2 linked regions of the Schizosaccharomyces pombe genome follow. The protein of the gene in region 1 binds, or shares a complex with, the protein of each later gene. Each region holds a gene or a part of one and is shown on either strand. Other genes may lie near its edges.

Region 1 (3,756 bases):
TCGTATTAAAACTTAGATTACATTGAAATTACAGCATTGGAGAAGCGGCTATATGCATATGAACTCTTTAAAGGATTAGCGATAAAATTACGTTTTTTTTGAACGCTAAAATGTTTGCAGTAATTTTGGTGAAATTCTATTTTCAACGTCTTCATTACCACCCAAATACCCATACTGACGTGAAATTGGACTAACTTGGAGAGGCTTATTCTTTGTGAGAAATTGTTTTCTCCGTTTTGTATTTGAAGAGACAGAAAAGATTTTAAATTTTTTTAAAACTTGCTAGTCTTGGTTATACTTTTGTTACTGTTTTAACTTCAGTTTTTTGTCTTGTCCAAATATTACGATTTTTGAATCGATTGTTGGCAATCACTCAAATCAAGTAATGTTTCGAAGGGGTTTAGTTTTCTCTAGGCATTGTCATTACAGCTTGATTCGTCCTCGATTTCCTTTGAATCGTACGTGCCTAGCGCGTTTTGCCGACGGTCGCAAAAATCTAGCTACTGACAATCGAACGCAGACATACCAATCATGGCGTGGAATGATTTCTATAAGAGCATTGCTTCTTGCAGCTGCAACAAGCGTTGGCCTTTATGCTTATTTCCAACATGAAAAGAAAAAAGTGTTGGAGAGGCAAAACGACAAGGTTTTGGCTACCATAGGTCGTCCCCAATTAGGAGGTGCTTTTTCTTTAATTGATCATCATGGAAATCGAGTTACTGATAACGATTTCAAGGGAAAATTTTCCTTAATCTACTTTGGTTTCACCAGATGCCCCGACATTTGCCCCGACGAGCTCGACAAAATGTCAGCAGCTATTGATATTGTAAACAATGTTGTTGGAGACGTGGTTTATCCTATTTTCATAACCTGTGATCCAGCCCGTGATCCTCCGCAAGAAATGGCTGAATACCTTGAAGATTTCAATCCTAAAATCGTTGGTCTCACAGGATCCTATGAAGAAATAAAAGATATTTGTAAAAAATTCCGAGTCTATTTTTCTACCCCTAAGAACATTGACCCTAAAAAGGATGATTATCTGGTTGACCACTCGGTATTCTTCTACTTGATGGATCCAGAGGGTAAGTTCATTGAAGTATTTGGTCGCAACTCTACCTCTGAAGATTTAGCTCGTGCAATCGGTTCTTACTATTTGTCCCGAAAGAAACAGAAATAATTAAATACCTTTAGCCTTTCATGTGTTTTGATTTTATGCTGGGTTACTACTTTTTCCATATTCACTAATTTTTACTTAATACTTTTAAAAACAATTTCCCACTATTTTCTGGCGGTACACAGATTTATTTTCTTTTTCTCTTTGATTCGTAAAAATGATTTTGTTGAATCCTAGCTAGAGAAGCGCTGCGTTCTGGTTTGAAATATTTCGACATAAGGGGAAAACCCCTTTCTGCAAGTTTATTCTTACTGGAAATTTAAAAACGTGTTAATTTATTACTATTTTTAAAATCCGAAAAAATTGAATATTTTGGAAGGTGTTTATGATACTATCTTTTCATATCCAAAAACCCTATGCATTTACCTTTAACGCAAATAAATGAAGAAACTGATTTTACCATTACTCTTATTTAAATCAATTTAAAATATTTAATAAAAACAATTCATTATGTATCTTCATATAATGTACGAAACCCGTGTGCGTTTTACATGTTAAAGTTGTTTAGCTGAAATATCTCATTGGGAAAGTCATCTGCATGCATGCAAAGAACTTTTAGCTTCTCCTCGATATCTATTTAAAAATAAATTTGCTCTTATCTAGTAAAGGTATTCACTATTTTCATTGCTATTTACAATTCATCTATAGTAGATTTAATCTTCAACGATATAAGGATATTTACAAATATTGTTCGTTATACCATTATTGTGATTTTTAAAGGCCCATCTCATCTACGACATTGCCTTAGCCTTTTTACATTTAAGTGATGCCCTGTGCAAGCAACATTTAGGACCTATGGGGATTCAGCTTTCCACTATCCAGACCCCCCAATTCCATGAATTGTTCGAGGAAGAGCTTCCAGAATATCACAATGAAAGAAGGTAAGTCAAAGAATTCTTATTCTCCCAGCAATTCTAACGTTACGAAATTTAGTCTAGGGGATTCACATTTTTTGCGAACGTTTCGCATGCAAGATCGCAAGGGATATGATGTTTTAATCAAAGTATTTGTAAATAAACTTCCGGAAATTTCGTTGTCAAGCATTGTAAATTTGTTGAAGGGTAGGTCATTTGTTTATAGTCTCATTTACGCGAATCGCATCAATTATGGGAATAAAGACTAACTAAAACAACAGAGGAGCAAGAGAATATCTCATATAGAGTGCCAAATGCCGTACCCTATATAAAAACGTTGGTTACGCTTCGCGCTGCCTACCTGGTGCGTCCATACGTGACTCACAATTTGTATGATAGAATTTCTACTAGGCCCTTTCTTGAGTTGACTGAAAAAAAGTGGATAATGTTTCAATTATTAAAGGGAATTTCCGATTGTCATAGACTTGGTGTTTGTCATGGTGATATTAAATCGGAAAACATTTTAATTACTTCTTGGAATTGGGCTTATCTATCGGACTTTAGCTCTTTTAAACCTACTTATTTGCCAGAGGATAATCCTGCTGACTACGGCTATTTTTTTGACACTTCATCTCGAAGAGTCTGTAATATCGCTCCCGAAAGATTTGTTCCTGCATCGCAATTACAACCTGCTCCATTATCGCCTGCAATGGATATTTTTAGTCTTGGATGTGTGTTTGCAGAACTGCTTTTGGAGGAGTCGCCTCTTTTTACGCTTTCTCAGCTTTTTAGCTACAAGGCCCATGGGTCTTACGATTTACAGTCTGTTCTTGAGCAAATCGAGGATAAGAGTACCCAAGTAAGAAATCTTATATAGAATTCATTCTACGTTAGTTTACTAACATAATACTTCTAGAACATGATTCTAAGTATGCTAGACAGAGATCCCAGTCAACGATTGTCGGCTGATGCCTATTTGCAGAAATATCGAGGAACCGTTTTTCCTGCATGCTTTTATGACACTTTGTATGATTACTGTATTGGTTTAGTCGATCCAAGCGGAATTCTTTCTGCCAAGCAGCCTAATGACGCTTGCAGTTTGTATGGTTCTCGAATTGACGACATTTACAGAGATATTATGCCCCCAAATAATAATGACATTTCAAACCTTATGCACACCCCTCATGAATATAATGGAATAGATTCTTATTCTGTACCCCTTTTTACCACACTTGATGAATTTTATAATAAAAACCCTGCTGCCAAGAATTGGTATCTAAGACTGTATAATACTATGCAAGAAAAAAAAGGATTTGAGGATAAAGAGCAAGGTTCCACACCTGCACCTTCTCCTTCAGTCATTGAGGATATTTCATCTATTGAAACGGATGAAAATCATCTTTATGGTGCCGCTGTTCTTCTTCCCATAGTTCTTTCCACTATTAGACACGTGAATACAAGAGAATCTAAGATAAACGCTTTAAGTTTGGTGCAAATTTTATCAAGGAACATCTGCGATGAGTCCAAACTTGATACAGTTTTACCTTTTGTTATGACTTTGCTTCGTGACCAATACGCCGATGTAAGGATTAGTGCGCTTATTACGATTACTCGCCTAGTTAGTAATGTAACCTCTATTGCTCCGATTAATGCATTTCTTTTTCAGGAGTATTTATTTCCTGACCTTCAGCATTTTCTTTTCGATATGAATTCTCGTACTCGAGCAAC
Region 2 (3,708 bases), 520 kb from region 1:
ACTGGGTTTGCTTGTTGACGATCGGGTTGACTTGGCGAAAGGTATGGTGGAGAATTTTATTTTTGAAATTACCTATTACGGTAAGATCTTGAATGCCAACCGCACTTATTATCTTCTTCGCTCCCAGCCTCCATTTTTGACCGATATGGCCCTTCGAGTTTATGAACGTATAAAAAACGAAGAAGGATCTTTAGACTTTTTGCATCGGGCCTTTTCTGCGACTATAAAAGAATATCACACTGTTTGGACTGCCACTCCACGACTGGATCCCAAAACTGGTCTTTCCCGCTATCGCCCTGGAGGACTCGGTATTCCTCCGGAAACTGAAGCTTCTCATTTTGAGCATTTGCTTCGTCCTTACATGGAGAAGTATCATATGACTCTTGAGGAGTTTACTCATGCATACAATTACCAACAAATTCATGAACCCGCGTTGGATGAGTATTTCGTGCACGACCGCGCAGTTCGCGAAAGCGGGCATGATACTACTTATCGGTTGGAAAAAGTTTGTGCTGACTTGGCCACCGTGGATCTGAACTCGTTGCTATACAAATATGAAACCGACATCTCACATGTGATTTTAGAATATTTCGATGACAAGTTTGTACTTCCAAACGGAACTATAGAAACTTCTGCCATTTGGGATCGTCGTGCTCGTGCTCGTCGTGCTGCAATGGAAAAGTATCTTTGGTCAGAAGCTGATTCGATGTGGTATGATTACAACACGAAGTTAGAAACGAAGAGTACTTATGAAAGTGCTACTGCTTTCTGGGCCTTGTGGGCCGGTGTGGCAACTCCCCGTCAAGCCGCAAAATTTGTTGATGTTAGTCTTCCCAAGTTTGAAGTTGCTGGAGGTATAGTTGCTGGTACAAAGAGAAGCTTGGGTAAAGTGGGTCTTGATAATCCCAGCCGTCAATGGGATTATCCTAATGGCTGGAGCCCTCAGCAGATTTTAGCTTGGTATGGATTGATTCGATACGGATATGAAGAGGAGACTCGTAGACTTGTATATCGTTGGCTATATACTATTACTAAATCGTTTGTTGATTTTAATGGTATTGTTGTTGAAAAATATGATTTGACCAGACCAGTTGATCCACATCGTGTTGAAGCTGAGTATGGTAATCAGGGTGTCAATATCAAAGGCGTTGCTCGCGAAGGTTTTGGATGGGTTAATGCCAGTTACGAAGTCGGCCTTACATTCTGTAATTCGCATATGCGTCGGGCTCTTGGTGCTTGTACGACTCCTGATGTTTTCTTTGCCGGCATCAAGGAAGAATCTCTTCCTGCTTTCGAAAACCTTTCCATTCATAAAAATTAAGTTATCGTTTGCTTGAAAAAAATAATCGACTTTGTCTACTTTTTTAGTTGCCTTTAGCTTTATTCTCTTATTATGTTATTTTGGTTATCGACCGGTTAAAACCCATTGTTATGTTACATGTTATACCTTCCATTAAATCCTTCTACTATGAAGGTTCTATTTGGCGAATATTCCCTTACGAAACAATAGTTAATTCTATTTAAATTTATGAGTAAAGCTTATCACCAGCGATATTATTACTTTTTTACTTAAAAGAAAGAAGTAGTAAATGAATTTTTTACCTTACGATTCAATTCTAATTTATAATTTCCATGATAGTACTGTTGTTGCAGTTTTAGTCCGAATATAACTCTAATGTTTAATTTGGTGTCTATCACTTTATTAGTTTTTTTTTTGAAGGAATTGTCTTCTAGAAACTTATTTTGAGTTAATGTACCGTATTATGTCGTTCACATTTGTAGACAACATAAGTTGGCCACTTCCTTACACAACAACAGTATATTATTAAAATGTGTTATGGTTCGATATTCATTAAGAAAGGTAAGAGATGCTTAAAGAGATAAGGATATGAGTAAATTTAGTGTTTGAAGTTCGTAATTATCGTTCGCTTTTGAATGTGAATGTTAACAAAATTAGGCGCATGAATACGCCCGAGATGGGGAAAATCAGGAAGTTTTGGGAGAAATTTCACAAGCAATTATGTATTATGGATTAGCAAAAAGTCAGTTTGAAAAGATATGTCAGAACACAGCTCAGCCTCTTATTAAAAGATGCGCAAATAACCAAATCGAAGAGTTGATGGTTCGTATACGCGAGTTACGAGAATCATTGCCAAACAAACAAACACCAATATCAATGTCAATGTCTACGAGATTATCACCTATGTATACTTCTTCATTAACTCCACGATTTACGTCCAATTCAATGGTTTTACCAGGTGATCATAATACTACTGTTCGACTAAAACCAAGCTTTCGTGAAGCTTTAATGGAAGATTCTGAGGACGATTTATATCAAATGTATTCTAAATTCGAAATGCAGGTTAAAAAGCTGTCAACCAACTATGGACTTGCAGTTGCTTTTTCCATCGTTCCCATGGATGATGATCAGCCATCACCAAGCATATTTAGCTCCGATGAGAGTTTTTTGATCGTAGAAGGTGATGATTTTTCTCTTGGTAACAGCGTTGAAGAAGATGCCAATGCAACAAGCAAAGAAGATCCTGCCTATCAGAATACGAACGAGCAGATTCAACCGCTATCGAATTTCGATATAAGTCAACAAGAATATTTAAATAATACAAGGATTCCATATGAAAACGAGGATTTACATTTACAACACATTACTCAAGGAACTACAGATGATAACAATGTATCCAAGTTTCTTATTCCTTCATACAATGATGCTAAGGAATTATCTGAAGAGGAGATGGGAAGAAGTCATAAAAGGGAAGAATCATTTAAAAGAGCATTTGGTCACGCATCAAGTAGCGAAAGTAGTATTGGAGAGATTACGGATTCTAGGGAGGATATTCAGTCAAACCGTCTTGTTAACGGCTCTTGGGAAAATAATGATTTTACTAAGGAAATAAACAATAACTTCCCTGATAGATCTGAAACGCCAACGCTCCAAACAATTGAAGCTCCGACCAAACTCATGAAATATACCAGACGCAAAAGTCTGTTTCGGTTTCCATTTTTTCGTTCAATATCTGGAAAGAAAAAAGAGGAGCCTATGGAGTCCGGAACTGATTCACTTGAATCATCTACGGCACAGATTACGGTCGATTCTCAATTGAAAATCAAACAGCTTGAAACACAAATCGCAACTTTACAAAAGCAACTGGAGCAATTTCAAACCAGTACTCTCGATCAAGATCTTCACTAAATGTCATTACTCGATTTACTTATTAATTCTTTAAAGAAACGGCAACTGATCGAAAATCAGTTTTCAAAGCAATACATTATGTTGTCTCTGCAAAATTCTGTATGTTTCGTTAAATTGTGCCTTAGTTTTCCTTTTGAAGAGAAATGCATGGGGAGGCAAAATTACGATGACATGGTCTGTGGCGAGCCATCCTTAATGGAATCAATACTTATTTTGGCTTAGATATGTTCTCTGCGCATACCATTATATTTGGGATTTTACTTTCTCTTTTTACCACCTGAAGTTCTGAAATAAATTTTTACGTGCTTCTATAACTGAATTCGACTACGAAAACTAGGATGAGGATGGATGGCTCTGATTTTGAAGATCGAAAAGTTAGTAAACCGAGCCCGGTATTACCTTTTGATGTTAGCAACATTGGTGATTTGAGTCAAGGGGTACACTCACCGTTGGGTATTTCGCATTTCGATTCCAAAAATCCAACGCCATTTGGCAGATCA

Evidence for each region. Proteins that work in one complex are often made in the same cells at the same time.
Region 2: vps15 (region 1) and atg38 share a complex: the UniProt entries of both Schizosaccharomyces pombe proteins name them as parts of the autophagy-specific vps34 PI3-kinase complex.

What each region holds. Positions count from the first base shown.
Region 1 is NC_003423.3:723,374-727,129, forward strand, and holds the start of vps15 (serine/threonine protein kinase Vps15), read left to right. Parts: upstream 1-1,920; 5' UTR 1,921-1,969; coding exon 1,970-2,055; intron 2,056-2,107; coding exon 2,108-2,235; exon of another isoform or gene 2,236-2,309; coding exon 2,310-2,887; intron 2,888-2,944; coding exon 2,945-3,756. Other genes in the region: copper chaperone Sco1, read left to right, coding at 386-1,177. UniProt on the Schizosaccharomyces pombe protein: Functions as a part of the autophagy-specific VPS34 PI3-kinase complex I that plays a role in autophagosome assembly. This complex is essential to recruit the atg8-phosphatidylinositol conjugate and the atg12-atg5 conjugate to the pre-autophagosomal structure.
Region 2 is NC_003423.3:207,965-211,672, forward strand, and holds atg38 (protein Atg38), read left to right. Parts: upstream 1-1,794; 5' UTR 1,795-1,837; coding exon 1,838-1,861; exon of another isoform or gene 1,862-1,957; coding exon 1,958-3,208; downstream 3,209-3,708. Other genes in the region: alpha,alpha-trehalase Ntp1, read left to right, coding at 1-1,321; protein mug168, read left to right, coding at 3,547-3,708. UniProt on the Schizosaccharomyces pombe protein: Functions as a part of the autophagy-specific VPS34 PI3-kinase complex I that plays a role in autophagosome assembly. This complex is essential to recruit the atg8-phosphatidylinositol conjugate and the atg12-atg5 conjugate to the pre-autophagosomal structure.